Linked DNA regions of Saccharomyces cerevisiae S288C. The gene in region 1 interacts genetically with each later gene. Each region holds a gene or a part of one and is shown in the gene's direction. Other genes may lie near its edges.

The links.
Region 2: mutations in PMT2 (region 1) and CWH41 together harm fitness more than expected from each alone (negative genetic interaction), as found in Saccharomyces cerevisiae (4 studies listed by BioGRID).
Region 3: mutations in PMT2 (region 1) and PMA1 together harm fitness more than expected from each alone (negative genetic interaction), as found in Saccharomyces cerevisiae (3 studies listed by BioGRID).
Region 4: mutations in PMT2 (region 1) and ENV9 together harm fitness more than expected from each alone (negative genetic interaction), as found in Saccharomyces cerevisiae (3 studies listed by BioGRID, with this or other methods).

The regions. Positions count from the first base shown.
Region 1 is NC_001133.9:105,018-110,797, reverse strand, and holds PMT2 (dolichyl-phosphate-mannose-protein mannosyltransferase PMT2), read left to right. Parts: upstream 1-2,246; coding exon 2,247-4,526; downstream 4,527-5,780. Other genes in the region: nucleoside transmembrane transporter FUN26, read left to right, coding at 368-1,921; mitotic regulator LTE1, read left to right, coding at 4,926-5,780.
Region 2 is NC_001139.9:442,445-448,448, reverse strand, and holds CWH41 (mannosyl-oligosaccharide glucosidase), read left to right. Parts: upstream 1-2,305; coding exon 2,306-4,807; downstream 4,808-6,004. Other genes in the region: tryptophan synthase TRP5, read left to right, coding at 1-2,037; SCW11 (putative glucan endo-1,3-beta-D-glucosidase), read left to right, coding at 5,540-6,004. UniProt on the Saccharomyces cerevisiae protein: Cleaves the distal alpha 1,2-linked glucose residue from the Glc(3)Man(9)GlcNAc(2) oligosaccharide precursor highly specifically. Seems to play a role in beta-1,6-glucan synthesis.
Region 3 is NC_001139.9:479,410-485,679, reverse strand, and holds PMA1 (H(+)-exporting P2-type ATPase PMA1), read left to right. Parts: upstream 1-3,013; coding exon 3,014-5,770; downstream 5,771-6,270. Other genes in the region: YGL006W-A (uncharacterized protein), read right to left, coding at 147-257; BRP1 (Brp1p), read right to left, coding at 2,043-2,420; YGL007C-A (uncharacterized protein), read left to right, coding at 2,653-2,739. UniProt on the Saccharomyces cerevisiae protein: The plasma membrane ATPase of plants and fungi is a hydrogen ion pump. The proton gradient it generates drives the active transport of nutrients by H(+)-symport. The resulting external acidification and/or internal alkinization may mediate growth responses.
Region 4 is NC_001147.6:794,556-798,657, reverse strand, and holds ENV9 (Env9p), read left to right. Parts: upstream 1-1,864; coding exon 1,865-2,857; downstream 2,858-4,102. Other genes in the region: SRL1 (Srl1p), read right to left, coding at 350-982; DGA1 (diacylglycerol O-acyltransferase), read left to right, coding at 3,326-4,102.

The DNA.
Region 1 (5,780 bases):
ATTATAAAATTGAAACGATCCCAATCTCACCGCACTTCCCATAAAGCCTTCACGTTATACTTTTTTTTCTCATCTTTTTTTTCTCTCTCTCTCTCTCTCTCTTTTGCGTATCTTTTTCGTCCTGTTTCTTTCTTACTTAAGTATCTTTTTATAATATTTAAGAGAGCCAAAATTATTTAACCAAACCAAGAATCTTGTATTCTATAACGAATCCTTAATTCTTCTTGTTGTTATTAATGCCAAAAACAGAATTAATTTCCCGAAAAAGAAAAAAAAATTGACTTAAAAAATCATAGGAAAGGATGAATGATTTACGTTACGGCGACAGCTTATCATCAAACGCAAGAAAGCATACCAGATTGCAAAAATGAGTACTAGTGCGGACACTGATACCATCAAGAAGCCAATCCTTGCGGTGCCAGAGCCTGCACTGGCCGATACGCATTCAGAGGAGATATCACGCTCTGGAGAAGAACATGAATCAGAGAACAACGAGCACTCAGATGAAGAAGGCGATAATTATTCTGAAAGAGAGCAATCTGTGTCAACCGAACCACTGGATACATTGCCGTTAAGAAAAAAGTTGAAAAATCTTTCATATATTACATTTTTCGCCATAGGAATAGGTCTTTTATGGCCGTGGAACTGTATCCTCAGTGCCTCGCAATATTTTAAGCACGATATTTTCAAAGACACCTCCATTTGGGCAAAGATCTTCACAAGCTCTATGATGTCCTTTTCTACCATATCGTCAATGCTGTTCAACATCTACTTGGCCAAAAGACAGTACAAATACTCGAGAAGGGTCATAAACGGGCTTGTGTGGGAGATTATTGTCTTTACTGTCATGTGCTTCTTTACAATTTTGCATTTCCTTTTACCTAAATGGTTCAATTTCATGTTTATAATGATGCTTGTAGTGATCAGTTCCATGGGGACAGCCATGACACAGAATGGTATCATGGCCATAGCCAACGTCTTCGGTTCCGAGTACAGTCAAGGTGTCATGGTGGGGCAAGCCGTTGCTGGTGTCCTGCCCTCCCTAGTGCTTTTTGCCCTAGCTTTCATCGAGAACTCTTCTGTGTCTACTACGGGCGGGATTCTTCTATACTTTTTTACCACAACACTCGTGGTCACCATTTGTGTGGTCATGTTCAGCGTGAGCAAAATCAGTCGGAAAGTGAACGAGAATTGGAATGTGGAAGACGGACATATCACTGATGTGTTGTTAGGGTCTCTGCGCTCCAATGAGGAGGAAATCCGTATTGTTGGCCGCATTGACCAAATGGAGGATGAAGACCACCGCCGCACCAACGGCACTCGCGACGACAACGACGAAGGTGAGGAACTCCAACTAAAAGTGCCTTTCGAGGTCTTATTTGCCAAACTAAAGTACCTGGTTCTTTCCATATTCACCACGTTTGTCGTAACTCTTGTTTTTCCTGTATTTGCGTCTGCCACCTACGTGACAGGGCTTCCTTTAAGCAACGCACAGTACATACCTCTCATATTCACGCTGTGGAACCTAGGCGACCTTTACGGAAGAGTCATTGCCGACTGGCCCATGTTCCGTGACCAGAAATTTACGCCACGCAAAACCTTCATCTACTCATTGTTGCGGGTGGCCGCAATACCACTGTTCTTGATGTTCACAGCCATCACCTCCTCTTCAAGCGGCGATGAAGAGCACAATGGCTCCGTAATCGTTGACTTGTGTTACATGCTACTGCAGTTCCTTTTCGGCGTAACCAACGGGCACGTCATCTCTATGAGTTTCATGAAGGTGCCAGAGCAACTGGACAACGACGACGAGAAGGAAGCGGCCGGTGGATTCACTAATATTTTCGTTTCTACAGGACTAGCTCTGGGCAGCATCATAAGCTACGTATTCGTCTTCATAATTGACTTTATTATCAGGTAGATAGATACTGTACATACCGAAACGCCATCATTTACAGTCGTGATACGATTTACTGTCACTTAGCAATAATATCTCGTACATAGCGACAAACATACATATTATTGGACACGTCGCCCTGAAAAAAAAAAACATAAGAAAAGAATACGAAAAAAAAGAACGAAAGAACTTACGGAAAGATCCGTTTCGTGTACTGTTTATTAATAGTGTTGCATTCTTTTTGAGGGTAAAAAAAAGGTCATTTCTCGAGACTAACAACATTACCAAGGAGAACCGGCTTAGTCCACATCGCTACTGTCATTCTGTTTCGAACCGTGGTCCAGCAATCATGTCCTCGTCTTCGTCTACCGGGTACAGCAAAAACAATGCCGCCCACATTAAGCAAGAGAATACACTGAGACAAAGAGAATCGTCTTCCATCAGCGTCAGTGAGGAACTTTCGAGCGCTGATGAGAGAGACGCGGAAGATTTCTCGAAGGAAAAGCCCGCTGCACAAAGCTCACTGTTACGCCTGGAATCCGTTGTAATGCCGGTGATCTTTACTGCATTGGCGTTGTTTACCAGGATGTACAAAATCGGCATCAACAACCATGTTGTTTGGGATGAGGCGCACTTTGGTAAATTTGGTTCTTATTACTTGAGACACGAATTTTACCACGATGTCCATCCTCCCCTAGGAAAAATGCTGGTCGGGTTGTCTGGTTATTTGGCAGGCTACAACGGTTCTTGGGACTTCCCTTCTGGGGAAATTTACCCAGACTATTTGGATTATGTTAAAATGAGACTGTTCAACGCGTCATTTTCCGCGCTCTGTGTGCCATTGGCCTACTTCACTGCCAAAGCTATTGGATTTTCTTTACCAACAGTTTGGCTGATGACCGTGTTGGTTTTGTTTGAAAACTCGTATAGTACTTTGGGCAGGTTCATTCTTTTGGACTCCATGCTACTTTTCTTCACTGTCGCATCGTTCTTTAGTTTTGTTATGTTCCACAACCAGAGGTCCAAGCCGTTCTCTAGAAAGTGGTGGAAATGGCTGTTGATCACTGGTATTTCTTTGGGTTGCACTATTTCCGTCAAAATGGTGGGTCTATTTATCATCACTATGGTCGGTATCTATACTGTGATTGACTTATGGACCTTTTTGGCAGATAAATCCATGTCATGGAAAACCTATATTAACCACTGGTTGGCAAGAATATTTGGTCTTATTATCGTCCCCTTCTGCATTTTCCTATTGTGCTTCAAAATACATTTTGACCTATTATCGCATTCTGGTACAGGTGATGCTAACATGCCATCTCTTTTCCAAGCAAGATTAGTGGGTTCTGACGTCGGACAAGGCCCCCGTGACATTGCTCTAGGTTCCTCCGTTGTTTCCATCAAAAACCAAGCTCTTGGAGGATCTCTATTGCACTCACATATACAAACTTATCCAGATGGGTCCAACCAACAACAAGTAACCTGTTATGGTTACAAAGATGCTAACAACGAATGGTTTTTCAACAGAGAAAGAGGCTTACCATCATGGTCAGAAAACGAAACTGACATCGAGTATTTGAAGCCAGGTACCTCCTATAGATTGGTACACAAAAGCACGGGCAGAAACTTGCACACCCACCCAGTTGCTGCACCAGTGTCAAAGACACAATGGGAGGTTTCTGGTTACGGTGACAATGTTGTTGGTGACAACAAAGACAATTGGGTTATTGAGATCATGGACCAAAGAGGAGATGAAGACCCTGAGAAGTTGCACACATTGACCACCTCTTTCCGTATCAAGAACTTGGAGATGGGCTGTTACTTGGCTCAAACCGGTAACAGTTTGCCCGAATGGGGTTTCAGACAACAAGAGGTTGTCTGCATGAAAAACCCATTCAAGAGGGACAAGAGGACCTGGTGGAACATCGAGACCCACGAAAATGAAAGGTTGCCACCAAGACCCGAAGATTTTCAATACCCAAAGACCAACTTCTTAAAAGACTTCATTCATTTAAATCTAGCCATGATGGCCACTAATAACGCTTTGGTGCCAGATCCAGACAAATTTGATTACTTAGCTTCCTCAGCATGGCAATGGCCAACTTTGAATGTGGGTTTGAGACTATGTGGCTGGGGTGATGATAATCCAAAATACTTCCTATTGGGTACCCCAGCTTCCACGTGGGCTTCTAGTGTTGCCGTCCTCGCATTCATGGCCACGGTCGTTATCTTACTGATCAGATGGCAAAGACAATATGTGGACCTAAGAAATCCATCTAACTGGAACGTTTTCTTAATGGGCGGGTTCTACCCACTACTAGCTTGGGGCCTACACTACATGCCATTCGTTATCATGTCTAGAGTCACCTACGTTCATCATTACTTGCCTGCCTTGTATTTTGCACTGATCATTTTGGCGTACTGTTTCGACGCCGGTTTGCAAAAATGGTCCAGATCTAAGTGCGGCCGTATCATGCGGTTCGTCCTATACGCCGGATTCATGGCACTTGTAATTGGTTGCTTCTGGTACTTCTCCCCAATATCATTTGGTATGGAGGGACCAAGTAGTAACTTCCGCTACTTAAACTGGTTTTCCACTTGGGACATTGCCGACAAGCAAGAAGCATGAATTAAGATCATCGTAGTAAGTACATAAGTAAAAAACAAGAATTAAATAAAATTTCTATATCAACCAGCAGAAGAAGTGGTCTATATAAACCACTATATAATGAATTTCGATAAACACTCTTTAATTGTTAACCAGGCTGTTCTCCTTACTCATCTTTGCGATCCGATGCTGTTTTATTACCCTTCTATTTTTTCCTTTCTGCATTTTGATTTTCGCGAATAATGAAATTCTTGATCTTTTTATCAACAATGAAAAAAAAACTGTAAACAGAAACTGATAATTTCTTGAACCCTTTAGCCCACCCCAACCGTACTCGTGTTATTCGCTCGTTGATTTACGCGAACCTTTTTGTTTGCTTTACATAGCCTCTAGCCATTCAAAGATTCGCTACCCTGAACCATGGAAATATTTAGCCAGAAAGATTACTACCCGACTCCATCCTCAAATGTTATTAGCTATGAAAGCGATTGTGTATCCAAACCAGTGAATAGTGCAGACCTGCCCGCGTTAATTGTACACCTTTCTTCCCCTTTGGAAGGTGTAGACTACAACGCATCTGCAGATTTTTTCCTTATTTATAGGAATTTTATAACGCCTCAAGACTTACACGACTTACTCATCTATAGATTTCGATGGTGTATTAGGGAGATCACAACAAATGCTGCAAAAGCTAAGAGAAGGCGAATTGGTGAAGTTGCCCTCGTGAGGACGTTTGTGTTGTTGAGGCATTCCATACTGAATTATTTTGTGCAAGATTTTTTACCGAACATAACATTAAGACTTCGGTTGATCGAGTTTCTAAACGACAAACACATTGAACAGTACCCAAAAATAATTTCCAGCTGTATAATCAATCTGAAAAAAAACTGGGTGCATTGTTCTAAGTTGGTTTGGGAGAATATTGAACTAAATGAACCTGATAAATTAGACTTTGATGCATGGCTGCATTATTCGTTAAAGGATTTCACGCAACTAGAAAGCCTACACAAAAGAGGAAGCCGACTGAGCATTTACGCCAGGCAAAGTTTTGCCAGTCCTGATTTTCGTAACCAAAGCGTTTTATCATTATATAAAACTTCTGATGTATTTAGACTGCCGGAGAAGCTACAGTCTTCAAATTCTTCCAAAAACCAGAGAAGCCCTTCTATGCTTTTATTTCCCGATAATACATCAAATGTTTACTCGAAGCACCGAATAGCGAAAGAACCTTCAGTTGATAATGAAAGCGAGGACATGTCAGATAGTAAACAAAAG
Region 2 (6,004 bases), on another chromosome or scaffold:
ACAGTCAAAGACACTGTCCCTATTCTCAAGGGTTTCCAGGATGGTGGTGTAGATATCATCGAATTGGGTATGCCCTTCTCTGATCCAATTGCAGATGGTCCTACAATTCAATTATCTAATACTGTGGCTTTGCAAAACGGTGTTACCTTGCCTCAAACTCTAGAAATGGTCTCCCAAGCTAGAAATGAAGGTGTTACCGTACCCATAATCCTAATGGGTTACTATAACCCTATTCTAAACTACGGTGAAGAAAGATTTATTCAGGACGCTGCCAAGGCTGGTGCTAATGGTTTTATCATCGTCGATTTGCCACCAGAGGAGGCGTTGAAGGTCAGAAACTACATCAATGATAATGGTTTGAGCCTGATCCCACTAGTGGCTCCTTCTACCACCGACGAAAGATTGGAATTACTATCGCATATTGCCGATTCGTTTGTCTACGTTGTGTCTAGAATGGGTACTACTGGTGTTCAAAGTTCTGTGGCCAGTGATTTGGATGAACTCATCTCTAGAGTCAGAAAGTACACCAAGGATACTCCTTTGGCCGTTGGGTTTGGTGTCTCTACCAGAGAACATTTCCAATCAGTTGGTAGTGTTGCTGACGGTGTAGTGATTGGTTCCAAAATCGTCACATTATGTGGAGATGCTCCAGAGGGCAAAAGGTACGACGTTGCTAAGGAATATGTACAGGGAATTCTAAATGGTGCTAAGCATAAGGTTCTGTCCAAGGACGAATTCTTTGCCTTTCAAAAAGAGTCCTTGAAGTCCGCAAACGTTAAGAAGGAAATACTGGACGAATTTGATGAAAATCACAAGCACCCAATTAGATTTGGGGACTTTGGTGGTCAGTATGTCCCAGAAGCTCTTCATGCATGTCTAAGAGAGTTGGAAAAGGGTTTTGATGAAGCTGTCGCCGATCCCACATTCTGGGAAGACTTCAAATCCTTGTATTCTTATATTGGCCGTCCTTCTTCACTACACAAAGCTGAGAGATTAACTGAGCATTGTCAAGGTGCTCAAATCTGGTTGAAGAGAGAAGATCTTAACCACACGGGATCTCACAAGATCAACAATGCTTTAGCACAAGTTCTTCTAGCTAAAAGATTAGGCAAGAAGAACGTTATTGCTGAAACCGGTGCTGGTCAACACGGTGTTGCCACTGCCACTGCATGTGCTAAATTTGGCTTAACCTGTACTGTGTTCATGGGTGCAGAAGATGTTCGTCGCCAAGCTTTAAACGTCTTCAGAATGAGAATTCTCGGTGCTAAAGTAATTGCTGTTACTAATGGTACAAAGACTCTAAGAGACGCTACTTCAGAGGCATTCAGATTTTGGGTTACTAACTTGAAAACTACTTACTACGTCGTCGGTTCTGCCATTGGTCCTCACCCATATCCAACTTTGGTTAGAACTTTCCAAAGTGTCATTGGTAAAGAAACCAAGGAACAGTTTGCTGCCATGAACAATGGTAAATTACCTGACGCAGTTGTTGCATGTGTTGGGGGTGGTTCCAACTCTACAGGTATGTTTTCACCATTCGAGCATGATACTTCCGTTAAGTTATTGGGTGTGGAAGCCGGTGGTGATGGTGTAGATACAAAGTTCCACTCTGCTACTCTAACTGCCGGTAGACCTGGTGTCTTCCATGGTGTCAAGACTTATGTCTTGCAAGATAGTGATGGTCAAGTCCATGATACTCATTCTGTTTCTGCTGGGTTAGACTACCCAGGTGTCGGTCCAGAATTGGCATATTGGAAATCTACTGGCCGTGCTCAATTCATTGCAGCTACTGACGCTCAGGCTCTGCTTGGCTTTAAATTATTATCTCAATTAGAAGGTATTATTCCCGCTTTGGAATCTTCTCATGCTGTTTATGGCGCTTGCGAATTGGCTAAGACGATGAAGCCTGATCAACATTTGGTTATCAATATTTCTGGTAGAGGTGATAAAGATGTCCAAAGTGTCGCTGAAGTCTTGCCGAAATTAGGTCCAAAGATAGGTTGGGATTTGAGATTCGAAGAAGACCCATCTGCCTAATGAGTAATATCTGATAAGGAACGCTTTTATTTAGCTTTTTAACTACATAGACGAATATAATATACGATCGGGATACATTAGCATATTCAGCTCTTTTACCTCTCAATTTGCTCAAGATTAGTATCGTGACCAATTTTAGATCATTTCGGTCAGAACAGCCACATTTTCGCGTAATTTAAAAGTTCAATTATTGTATGCGTGACACACTATATTAGCGTCAACTGTTAATAAGGAAGTAGTGGATAATAACGGTTCAGGTTGCTTCACAATGCTTATTTCAAAATCTAAGATGTTTAAAACATTTTGGATACTAACCAGCATAGTTCTCCTGGCATCTGCCACCGTTGATATTAGTAAACTACAAGAATTCGAAGAATATCAAAAGTTCACGAATGAATCTTTACTGTGGGCACCGTATAGATCCAATTGTTACTTTGGTATGAGGCCCAGATATGTCCATGAAAGTCCACTAATTATGGGTATCATGTGGTTCAACAGTTTGAGTCAGGATGGCTTACATTCGTTAAGACATTTTGCAACGCCTCAGGATAAATTGCAAAAGTATGGTTGGGAAGTGTATGATCCAAGAATTGGTGGTAAAGAAGTTTTTATTGATGAAAAAAATAACTTGAACTTGACTGTTTATTTTGTAAAGAGCAAGAACGGGGAAAATTGGTCAGTGAGAGTTCAAGGTGAGCCTTTGGATCCCAAGAGACCATCTACAGCATCTGTCGTATTGTACTTTAGTCAAAATGGTGGCGAGATAGATGGAAAATCTTCCTTAGCAATGATAGGTCATGACGGCCCTAATGACATGAAATTCTTCGGATATTCTAAAGAATTAGGCGAGTATCATCTTACAGTAAAGGACAATTTTGGTCACTACTTCAAAAATCCGGAATATGAAACCATGGAAGTAGCACCAGGAAGTGACTGCTCTAAAACAAGTCATTTATCACTTCAAATCCCGGATAAAGAAGTTTGGAAGGCTCGTGATGTTTTCCAATCTCTAGTTAGCGATTCGATACGTGATATACTGGAAAAGGAAGAGACAAAGCAGCGTCCTGCTGATTTAATACCAAGTGTTTTAACTATTAGAAATTTGTACAATTTTAATCCTGGTAATTTTCATTATATACAAAAGACATTTGATTTGACCAAAAAAGATGGGTTCCAATTTGATATCACTTACAATAAACTTGGCACTACTCAAAGTATTTCCACCAGGGAACAAGTTACGGAGTTGATTACTTGGTCACTAAATGAGATAAACGCGCGTTTTGATAAGCAGTTTAGTTTTGGAGAAGGTCCCGACTCAATTGAAAGCGTGGAGGTCAAAAGAAGATTTGCTTTAGAGACGCTATCAAACCTATTAGGAGGAATCGGTTATTTCTATGGGAATCAACTAATTGATCGTGAAACAGAATTTGATGAGAGCCAGTTTACAGAGATCAAACTGCTGAATGCAAAAGAGGAAGGTCCATTTGAACTGTTTACCAGCGTTCCGAGCCGTGGCTTTTTCCCACGTGGATTCTATTGGGATGAAGGTTTCCATCTTCTACAAATTATGGAGTATGATTTTGACCTTGCCTTTGAAATCTTAGCGAGCTGGTTTGAAATGATCGAAGATGATAGTGGTTGGATTGCTAGAGAAATTATACTGGGTAATGAGGCAAGGAGTAAAGTTCCGCAGGAATTTCAGGTGCAAAATCCCAATATTGCTAATCCGCCAACTTTATTGCTAGCATTTAGTGAAATGCTTTCTAGGGCCATTGAAAACATCGGCGATTTCAACAGTGACAGCTACCACCAAGTCATGTTCAATAGTAGGACAGCCAAGTTTATGACGAACAATCTAGAAGCCAATCCTGGCTTGCTAACCGAATATGCCAAGAAAATTTATCCTAAGCTATTGAAGCACTATAATTGGTTCAGAAAATCTCAAACAGGACTTATTGATGAATATGAGGAAATATTGGAAGATGAAGGAATATGGGATAAGATTCATAAGAACGAAGTTTATAGATGGGTTGGGCGTACCTTCACTCATTGTTTGCCAAGCGGTATGGATGACTATCCTAGAGCACAACCACCAGATGTAGCAGAATTGAACGTAGACGCATTAGCATGGGTGGGCGTTATGACAAGATCCATGAAGCAAATTGCTCACGTGTTGAAGTTAACACAGGACGAGCAAAGATATGCACAAATTGAGCAAGAGGTGGTCGAGAATCTGGATTTGTTACACTGGAGTGAAAATGACAATTGCTACTGTGATATTAGCATCGATCCAGAAGACGATGAGATTAGGGAGTTTGTATGTCATGAGGGTTACGTCTCCGTATTGCCCTTTGCATTGAAGCTAATCCCCAAAAACTCACCCAAGCTAGAGAAAGTAGTTGCTTTGATGAGTGACCCAGAAAAAATCTTTTCAGACTACGGGCTGTTATCACTATCGAGACAAGACGACTATTTCGGCAAGGATGAAAACTATTGGAGAGGCCCAATTTGGATGAATATTAATTACTTGTGTCTTGACGCAATGAGATACTACTACCCAGAGGTGATTCTCGACGTGGCTGGTGAGGCTAGCAATGCCAAGAAACTGTACCAAAGTTTAAAGATTAATCTCAGTAACAACATATACAAAGTTTGGGAAGAACAAGGTTATTGTTATGAAAATTACAGTCCGATAGATGGTCATGGTACTGGTGCTGAGCATTTCACAGGCTGGACAGCACTTGTTGTCAACATCCTTGGACGCTTCTGAATCTATGTAGATATTTTCAGTCATATAAACAGATATGTAACCAGATATGTACCAGTATGCAGGATGAAAATTATAAATGTTCCAGCTATTCGAAAAGGGCCTCGCATCTCTTAGTTAGAGCCAGCATTTTCAGCTTTTTTTTTCTCGCGTTTATTTACATTTCGATGCGGCTGTGAGAAAAAGTTAAAAAATCGTGGAAACCAGCAACTGGTAACTAGCAGTCTGGGCCATTGCAGCTAAAAGCCAGACAAATAAACAATCGAAAACACACTCGAAACATGCATTATGAAATGTCACATTTTTTTTTTTCTTTTGGGGATTAATGGTTGCGAAGTGAGGTCTTTTCTATTTACTGCGGTAAGATGAATAAAAGTTAGGGAATGTTATTGTTTACAAGCTGGATACTAGATCTCAAAATGTTAAAGTGTAAGGACTGACAACAAAATATGCTGCACCGAAAACAAATTAAGAATCTGAGGAGGGACTATTTAAGTGGAAAGAAAATTGAAGTTCAATGATCGTGTTTTCCTTCTGCTTATCCAAATACACTGTTATATATTAAGGCAACAGTACTATAATCGTCAGTTACGCAACAAAGACAGTCCACTCTTTTAGAAGAATAAGCCTTTACTGACATACCTCCACTGTAATAAATCTATTCTATTCTCTGTACTGTTTATCGACTTATTATTACGCTACACTCATTGATATAATATCTAATAGAAAACCATCATGATTTCACCCATAAGCTTTCTATCATCGCTGCTATGCTTAACTTATCTAACCTCAGCTTTACCGATTCTTCCTAAGAGAGAAGTTGTAACGAGAGTTCACACAGCAAGCACAACTAATGTTGTGACTGATTTTTACTCCACTACTACCGAAGTTGTTATTGCCCCAACTGTCGAATTCCTAATAAGCGATAGTGTTACCTTTACAACAACCTTAATTCCACAAGGTGTGAACCCAACAGCTGAACCAACTACGACTATCACTAAAGTTCTCTTAAAAAAGGCTGAAATGAGTACATCTTCGCAGCCAACCTCTACTTTGCAGCCAAGCACTATTCCACAATCAACCTCCTCTTTTCAAGCAGAATCTACTTTGCAAGCCGTCTCTACGCAACAAACTGCTATGTCTGTTTCTGCAGGTACTAGTGAGGATGTGCAACAATTAGCTACTACTTCTACCTCTATC
Region 3 (6,270 bases), on another chromosome or scaffold:
TAAGCCTTCTCAATTGAATCGTGCCAACCTGACTAAAATGTAGTTTGGGGAAGTGAAAAAATCTGAAGAGATTATTTAATTTTTCGTTAAGCCTGCAATTTATTTTGGTAATAATTGCTAGAAAGAAATCGAATATTTAACGCAATTCAAATAAAGCCTTTCCTTGGGGGGGGGCTGATACTATTTGAATGTTTTTGGAAGGCGCCCATTAAATGCAATGCCAAGTGGCGATGATAATGAATTATGAAGATTAGCATTTGTTTAAAAAGCGTGGAGGGCGCTTCTAGGGCCTGAGCCTCCTAATTTTCTTTTCCCCCTGACAAATGATGGAGAAGCTTCTTTGCCGGGTAAAAACCCTTTTTTTTTATCTTTTCTGCGGGCGGATAAAGCTGTTAGTGCCACATGTTTCTATACAAACTGTATTAAAGTAAAAAAATTAATAGACAATTTAGGCCCCTCAAATGGGTAAAATAGAACATATATCAGTATGCACAGCTCACTATTTTAAAAGCGGCAGGCTTGGAGCTGTAGGACCACACTACTGCGACAAAAAAAGATAAAGTTGTGTTTTATTTATGTTTTGCCGTAAGATCGATACTTTTCTTATTCTCATCAAGAAAACACAAACTGCCAAGAACTAAGAAAAGAAGAGCCGTAAACAATGCTTGTAAACCGAAGTATGAAAAGAAAAACTTGATAATTAAATCATCCCCTTTGGCTCAAATATTTATTTTGTATTATTCATGCTTGATTAGTTTAAGAGTGAACTTTACTATCTTAATTTTATTTTAGCCTTTTCAGCTTATGGCACAATAGTGAAAACAAGATCATGTTAAGTTCTGTACCAGAAGAGAGAACCGATAAATAGTTTAATAAGCAGATCAATGCCAAGAATAAGATAAAACAACTATGGAGACTGATGTAAATATACTTGAAGCCGGGCAATAATATAAGCACCGTGAGCCGATTCTCCTCGATCCTACACTGCACCATATAACGAATGGTCTTGGACTATGGAAGGCAGTAACCAACAACAGAAAAGAGAGATTAATTAGAAAAAGACATTTCTCGAGAGAAAAAAAGTAAAGACCTTATCGTACAACTGTTACTGACATTTTTATTTTAAGAAGCTAAACCCTTATTATTAGCGCGCCCAAGTAGGCGCAAAACTAGAGAAGTCGCAGATGCATCCACCCACTTTTTGCCTTATTTTTCCTTAATTTCAGAAATATAGTTAAAATGAAAAACAAGGACAAGAAAAGAACGGGAAAAAGAAAAGGGGGATTAGCAAACAAAGAAAAGTCCAATAAAATGATTACAGACAGCATTGGATGCGATGAGATGGCAACCAGCGAGATGAGAGCATAGGATTTTCATCCTAGCTGCTTTAGGGAAGACGCACAAAACTTTGTTATGTTTGTAGTAAATATAGAAAAGAAAACAAAAAAGTGCTCGGACGAATCCGGTAGAGCTGTGTCTAGCCTCAATAAGTTTGCCGCATTTGGTAAATCAAAACTGTTTTTCTCTCCGTCATTTGTTTTGAAGCTTGTTCTGTTAGTTTAGGGAAATAGAAAAAAAAAAAAAGGGAAAAAGAAAGAAATCATATGCCCAATGGAGTACGAGAATTGGGGAAAAAGCCTCCATCGGGTTTTTAAACGGGCGTATACATGCTTACCACACTCCCGTAAGCAAGAACAAAGAATTTATCTTGATAAACTGCGTAATAAGTCAATCAATTGCTCTATATACGCGCATATACGTAAAACACAGAATCACATTTTAGTCAGGCCCAAGCCGTATAGGGCGAAAAAGCCCGCGCTTATCAAGTCATCGTAACGAATCAGATCTTTCCAACTGCTATCGCATACGTAAGAGAATTGAAATATTTCTCGGGTACGATACGACATTTTTTCTTTACATTTCTTTACTAAACCCGACGGCACGGGAAAGAAGATGAGACTCGGAACGGAAGCTAGAAGAAAAAGGAAGGACACAGAGATTTTCCGAGATTAACTCAGCTTTGCTAAAGTGCAAAAAGTCGTTTACGTCACCATCGCTGACGGGGAAAAAACAAAACAAGCTTCCTGAAACGGAGAAACATAAACAGGCATTGCTGGGATCACCCATACATCACTCTGTTTTGCCTGACCTTTTCCGGTAATTTGAAAACAAACCCGGTCTCGAAGCGGAGATCCGGCGATAATTACCGCAGAAATAAACCCATACACGAGACGTAGAACCAGCCGCACATGGCCGGAGAAACTCCTGCGAGAATTTCGTAAACTCGCGCGCATTGCATCTGTATTTCCTAATGCGGCACTTCCAGGCCTCGAGACCTCTGACATGCTTTTGACAGGAATAGACATTTTCAGAATGTTATCCATATGCCTTTCGGGTTTTTTTCCTTCCTTTTCCATCATGAAAAATCTCTCGAGACCGTTTATCCATTGCTTTTTTGTTGTCTTTTTCCCTCGTTCACAGAAAGTCTGAAGAAGCTATAGTAGAACTATGAGCTTTTTTTGTTTCTGTTTTCCTTTTTTTTTTTTTTACCTCTGTGGAAATTGTTACTCTCACACTCTTTAGTTCGTTTGTTTGTTTTGTTTATTCCAATTATGACCGGTGACGAAACGTGGTCGATGGTGGGTACCGCTTATGCTCCCCTCCATTAGTTTCGATTATATAAAAAGGCCAAATATTGTATTATTTTCAAATGTCCTATCATTATCGTCTAACATCTAATTTCTCTTAAATTTTTTCTCTTTCTTTCCTATAACACCAATAGTGAAAATCTTTTTTTCTTCTATATCTACAAAAACTTTTTTTTTCTATCAACCTCGTTGATAAATTTTTTCTTTAACAATCGTTAATAATTAATTAATTGGAAAATAACCATTTTTTCTCTCTTTTATACACACATTCAAAAGAAAGAAAAAAAATATACCCCAGCTAGTTAAAGAAAATCATTGAAAAGAATAAGAAGATAAGAAAGATTTAATTATCAAACAATATCAATATGACTGATACATCATCCTCTTCATCATCCTCTTCAGCATCTTCTGTTTCAGCTCATCAGCCAACTCAAGAAAAGCCTGCTAAGACTTACGATGACGCTGCATCTGAATCTTCTGACGATGACGATATCGATGCTTTAATCGAAGAACTACAATCTAATCACGGTGTCGACGACGAAGACAGTGATAACGATGGTCCAGTTGCCGCCGGTGAAGCTAGACCAGTTCCAGAAGAATATTTACAAACTGACCCATCTTACGGTTTAACTTCCGATGAAGTTTTGAAAAGAAGAAAGAAGTACGGTTTGAATCAAATGGCTGACGAAAAAGAATCTTTAGTCGTTAAGTTCGTTATGTTTTTCGTCGGTCCAATTCAATTCGTTATGGAAGCCGCTGCTATTTTGGCTGCCGGTTTGTCCGATTGGGTCGATTTCGGTGTTATCTGTGGTTTGTTAATGTTAAACGCTGGTGTTGGTTTCGTTCAAGAATTCCAAGCTGGTTCTATTGTCGATGAATTGAAAAAGACTTTGGCTAACACTGCTGTTGTTATCAGAGACGGTCAATTGGTTGAAATTCCAGCCAACGAAGTCGTCCCAGGTGATATTTTGCAATTGGAAGATGGTACTGTTATCCCAACTGATGGTCGTATTGTCACTGAAGACTGTTTCTTGCAAATCGATCAATCTGCTATTACTGGTGAATCTTTGGCTGTCGACAAACATTACGGTGACCAAACTTTCTCTTCTTCCACTGTTAAGAGAGGTGAAGGTTTCATGGTTGTTACCGCTACCGGTGACAACACTTTCGTTGGTAGAGCTGCTGCTTTGGTTAACAAAGCCGCTGGTGGTCAAGGTCATTTCACTGAAGTTTTGAACGGTATTGGTATTATCTTATTGGTTTTGGTCATTGCCACTTTGTTGTTGGTCTGGACTGCTTGTTTCTACAGAACCAACGGTATTGTTAGAATCTTGAGATACACTCTAGGTATTACTATTATTGGTGTCCCAGTCGGTTTGCCAGCTGTCGTTACCACCACTATGGCCGTCGGTGCTGCTTACTTGGCTAAGAAACAAGCCATTGTTCAAAAGTTGTCTGCTATTGAATCCTTGGCTGGTGTCGAAATCTTGTGTTCCGACAAAACCGGTACTTTGACCAAGAACAAGTTGTCCTTGCACGAACCATACACTGTTGAAGGTGTTTCTCCAGACGACTTGATGTTGACTGCTTGTTTGGCTGCTTCCAGAAAGAAGAAGGGTTTGGATGCTATTGATAAGGCTTTCTTGAAGTCTTTGAAGCAATATCCAAAGGCTAAGGACGCTTTGACCAAGTACAAGGTTTTGGAATTCCATCCATTTGACCCTGTCTCCAAGAAGGTTACTGCCGTTGTCGAATCTCCAGAAGGTGAAAGAATTGTTTGTGTTAAGGGTGCTCCATTATTCGTCTTGAAGACTGTCGAAGAAGATCACCCAATCCCAGAAGATGTCCATGAAAACTACGAAAACAAGGTTGCTGAATTGGCTTCTAGAGGGTTCCGTGCTTTAGGTGTTGCTAGAAAGAGAGGTGAAGGTCACTGGGAAATCTTGGGTGTTATGCCATGTATGGATCCACCAAGAGACGATACTGCTCAAACTGTTAGCGAAGCTAGACACTTGGGTCTAAGAGTTAAGATGTTAACTGGTGATGCTGTTGGTATTGCTAAGGAAACTTGTAGACAATTGGGTTTGGGTACCAACATTTACAACGCTGAAAGATTAGGTCTAGGTGGCGGTGGTGACATGCCAGGTTCTGAATTAGCTGATTTTGTTGAAAATGCCGATGGTTTCGCTGAAGTTTTCCCACAACATAAATACAGAGTTGTTGAAATCTTGCAAAACAGAGGTTACTTGGTTGCTATGACTGGTGATGGTGTTAACGATGCTCCATCTTTGAAGAAGGCTGATACTGGTATTGCTGTCGAAGGTGCTACTGATGCTGCCAGATCTGCTGCTGATATTGTTTTCTTGGCTCCTGGTCTATCTGCTATTATTGATGCTTTGAAGACCTCCAGACAAATTTTTCACAGAATGTACTCTTACGTTGTTTACCGTATTGCTTTGTCTCTACATTTGGAAATCTTCTTGGGTCTATGGATTGCTATTTTGGATAACTCTTTGGACATTGATTTGATTGTTTTCATCGCTATTTTCGCTGATGTTGCTACTTTGGCTATTGCTTACGATAATGCTCCTTACTCTCCAAAGCCCGTTAAATGGAACCTACCAAGATTATGGGGTATGTCTATTATTTTGGGCATAGTTTTAGCTATAGGTTCTTGGATTACCTTGACTACTATGTTCTTACCAAAGGGTGGTATTATCCAAAACTTCGGTGCTATGAACGGTATTATGTTCTTGCAAATTTCCTTGACTGAAAACTGGTTGATTTTCATTACCAGAGCTGCTGGTCCATTCTGGTCTTCTATCCCATCCTGGCAATTGGCTGGTGCCGTCTTCGCTGTCGACATCATCGCTACCATGTTTACCTTATTCGGTTGGTGGTCTGAAAACTGGACTGATATTGTTACTGTCGTCCGTGTCTGGATCTGGTCTATCGGTATCTTCTGTGTTTTGGGTGGTTTCTACTACGAAATGTCCACTTCTGAAGCCTTTGACAGATTGATGAACGGTAAGCCAATGAAGGAAAAGAAGTCTACCAGAAGTGTCGAAGACTTCATGGCTGCTATGCAAAGAGTCTCTACTCAACACGAAAAGGAAACCTAATCCTGTTGAAGTAGCATTTAATCATAATTTTTGTCACATTTTAATCAACTTGATTTTTCTGGTTTAATTTTTCTAATTTTAATTTTAATTTTTTTATCAATGGGAACTGATACACTAAAAAGAATTAGGAGCCAACAAGAATAAGCCGCTTATTTCCTACTAGAGTTTGCTTAAAATTTCATCTCGAATTGTCATTCTAATATTTTATCCACACACACACCTTAAAATTTTTAGATTAAATGGCATCAACTCTTAGCTTCACACACACACACACACCGAAGCTGGTTGTTTTATTTGATTTGATATAATTGGTTTCTCTGGATGGTACTTTTTCTTTCTTGGTTATTTCCTATTTTAAAATATGAAACGCACACAAGTCATAATTATTCTAATAGAGCACAATTCACAACACGCACATTTCAACTTTAATATTTTTTTAGAAACACTTTATTTAGTCTAATTCTTAATTTTTAATATATATAATGCACACACACTAATTT
Region 4 (4,102 bases), on another chromosome or scaffold:
CAAATAAATTAAATAAGCATAATAAACTGTAACTCTCTAACGGGTGCAAGTATAAGCACAACACCTCAATCATTTGTGAGCAAAGAAAATGATTTATAGCTGCACTTAGAAAATAAAGCAAATTAGGTGAAGTGTCTTTTTATTTTATTTTTTTTTTTCTATTAACAAACAAATGTCCATGTATATATATATAAACGAGAGAAAAATGATAGTGAAAAATAAATACCAGTTGGAACTTAAACTGATGTATTTAGGTAGCAGAAGGATAGAGTTACAGAAGGTGAAATTGTCAATACAGATACAAAAAAGAAACAAAAAGAACTTAAAAGGACACGTTTGAACTCATAATTCACCAACTGGTCGAATTAGTAATCGAAGTGGTGTTGTACCATTGTACGTTACCTGGAGAGGTAGTGGTAACAGAAGGTGCACCGGTGACAGTAACGTATTGTGTAGTCGTATTTGGGGTGACTGTAACGTACTGGGTAACGGGCTCATTGGTGACAGTGACAAACTTTGTGATTGGGACGCAACCATTGGAAGTTGAAGCCTGTTCAAAGGACTTGACCTTTGCATCTTTGTTGTTTGAATCTTCGTCACTGACACTTGCTGCAGTAGATGATGGAGACAAAGTAGTGGAGTCATGAAGGGTTAGCAGCAAAGTGGACGTGATAGTCGAGGTGGAGGTAATTTCATGGGTGGATTCTGGGGTTACAGATCCAGAGGCCGAAGAGGTGGACAAGGAGGAGGAGGCCGCATTGGTAATGGTGGCTGAAGTTGAGGTGAACCAGCTCGTGGAGTAGACCGTTGAGGTGACAAAAAAGGTAGTGGTGTCGTCGGCGTACGATATGGTAGTCTCTTGGGGCACCAAGGAGTAGCTGGGCGCTAAAGTGGTAGTTGTAGAAACAGTATTGTTTGAATAAATCGCTGACACAGAACTTGCGAAGGTTAAAAGAGCGAAAAAGACAACGGATTGAAGCATTTTTTTATTTTTGGTTGATAAAGAACGACTAAGGTGAGAGTGAAAGTGATGTGATTTTTAATTATGTAGTGTAATTGAAACAATAAAAAAAAAACAAGGGAATGGACGAGACCTATTAATGGGTACTATGGCTCAAATAGCAAAAAAAATTTGTAAAATGGGTAAAAAAATGAGAGAAATACGCGAGAAACCTCTTGGTTGGATGTTGTGCTAAACTAGTTGCTTAAACGCTTGCAAAACTTTTTTATAGATAAAATATGCCAAGTGAAAAGAAAAGGAAGCAGAAGAGAAAAACTTAGAAAGGTAGAGGTAAGAAAGAATAAACCAAAATGTAAGCTAGGTGAGGGAAATATTTTGGAGCTTAAATATCTCGAACGACACTCACTCTCGTCAGAAAAATCTGTCGAGTAACTCAGACCACCTCCGATAGCATACCTTGTTTAGTTTCATAATCGGCAGAGACGTCATTCCTGCACAGAACGCCAAAATTCGTGGCCCCCGCGGTACCTGAATCAGGGCCAAGAATTTTGGCGTTTCGTGTTGTTGACATATTCCGAAAAAGGTATTGAGCCACAGGTCTTTCGCGTCTTCTAAGCCCCAAGATAAAGAAAATGCCGCCCTGCTTAATCACTGTTTTTTTTTGGAAAACCCTGAAGTATAGAAGTAGGGCATTGAAAGAAAAGATATGCGGGTAAGATATGAAAAAATTGAGGAAATGAGACCCAAGTGTACATGGGTATATATAAACAAATCATTATGGTGCATGATGCATCACTTACAATGCACACACACTATTGTCTTTGTAGAAACGGGGAAGACAATGGTTGTAGGCCTGATTGGTATTAGAGGCATCCGCAGTACGAGACATACGCCAAAGGCAGAATGTTAGACCCACGAATATTGCCATACTACGACCCGGCTGTGGAGAGGAAGATTGCTGTAGTAACAGGCGGAAATACGGGTATTGGGTGGTATACTGTCTTGCATTTGTATTTGCATGGGTTTGTCGTTTATATTTGTGGGAGAAACTCTCACAAGATTTCGAAAGCAATCCAGGAGATACTGGCAGAAGCAAAGAAGAGGTGCCATGAAGATGACGACGGTTCAAGCCCAGGCGCGGGCCCAGGTCCAAGCATTCAGCGTCTAGGGTCACTGCACTATATCCATTTGGATTTGACAGACTTAAAATGTGTGGAGAGAGCGGCACTTAAAATTCTCAAGCTGGAAGACCACATAGACGTGCTTGTTAACAATGCAGGGATTATGGCGGTGCCCTTAGAAATGACGAAGGACGGATTTGAAGTGCAATTGCAGACTAACTACATTTCGCACTTCATCTTCACGATGAGATTATTGCCTTTACTGCGCCATTGTCGTGGCAGGATCATTTCCCTGTCCTCGATAGGCCATCATCTAGAGTTCATGTACTGGAAACTGAGCAAGACGTGGGATTACAAACCTAATATGCTTTTCACATGGTTTAGGTACGCGATGAGTAAAACCGCGCTAATCCAATGCACGAAGATGTTGGCCATCAAATACCCTGACGTTCTTTGTCTCTCCGTTCATCCGGGTCTGGTGATGAACACAAACTTATTCAGTTATTGGACAAGGTTACCCATCGTCGGTATTTTCTTTTGGCTGTTGTTCCAGGTCGTAGGGTTCTTTTTCGGCGTATCGAACGAACAAGGTTCACTAGCTTCTTTGAAGTGTGCATTGGACCCGAATTTATCTGTCGAAAAAGATAACGGGAAGTACTTCACCACGGGGGGTAAAGAATCTAAATCGAGCTACGTTTCTAACAATGTCGACGAAGCGGCATCGACTTGGATCTGGACCGTTCATCAACTAAGAGACCGTGGTTTCGATATATAACAAGACGGAAAGATTGAAAGAGTAGATAGATGTACATTTTATTTAAATATTAGTTAGTCGTTATTGTAACTGGTAATCAGAGCAAGAAGTTTTTCTGTACTTTGTTCTCTGCAGGCAACTAAGTTACGGGCCGACAAAGGCTTATGATGTGCGTTTTTTATTCAATTGATAGATTCAGTCAGCATTGACGTAATGGGAAGGCTAGAAAAAGAGAAGACTGAATTTGGAAACTTATTCCTCAAAGCAGACCAGTACTTCCACCGCATTTCTGTACTTAACCAAGCACGACAGTGGTCTATCAGGCTTGGATCTTTCACTACACTTCCGCCAAAGTTTTTTTTTTTTCCTGTTTATCCCAGATCACGTTTGTTCCATTAAGGAGGTTTACTATCATCTCATTTCCATTTACACATACACTTACATATACATAAGGAAACGCAGAGGCATACAGTTTGAACAGTCACATAAATGTCAGGAACATTCAATGATATAAGAAGAAGGAAGAAGGAAGAAGGAAGCCCTACAGCCGGTATTACCGAAAGGCATGAGAATAAGTCTTTGTCAAGCATCGATAAAAGAGAACAGACTCTCAAACCACAACTAGAGTCATGCTGTCCATTGGCGACCCCTTTTGAAAGAAGGTTACAAACTCTGGCTGTAGCATGGCACACTTCTTCATTTGTACTCTTCTCCATATTTACGTTATTTGCAATCTCGACACCAGCACTGTGGGTTCTTGCTATTCCATATATGATTTATTTTTTTTTCGATAGGTCTCCTGCAACTGGCGAAGTGGTAAATCGATACTCTCTTCGATTTCGTTCATTGCCCATTTGGAAGTGGTATTGTGATTATTTCCCTATAAGTTTGATTAAAACTGTCAATTTAAAACCAACTTTTACGCTTTCAAAAAATAAGAGAGTTAACGAAAAAAATTACAAGATTAGATTGTGGCCAACTAAGTATTCCATTAATCTCAAAAGCAACTCTACTATTGACTATCGCAACCAGGAATGTACAGGGCCAACGTACTTATTTGGTTACCATCCACACGGCATAGGAGCACTTGGTGCGTTTGGAGCGTTTGCAACAGAAGGTTGTAACTATTCCAAGATTTTCCCAGGTATTCCTATTTCTCTGATGACACTGGTCACACAATTTCATATCCCATTGTATAGAGACTACTTATTGGCGTTAGGTATTTCTTCAGTATCTCGGAAAAACGCTTTAAGGACTCTAAGCAAA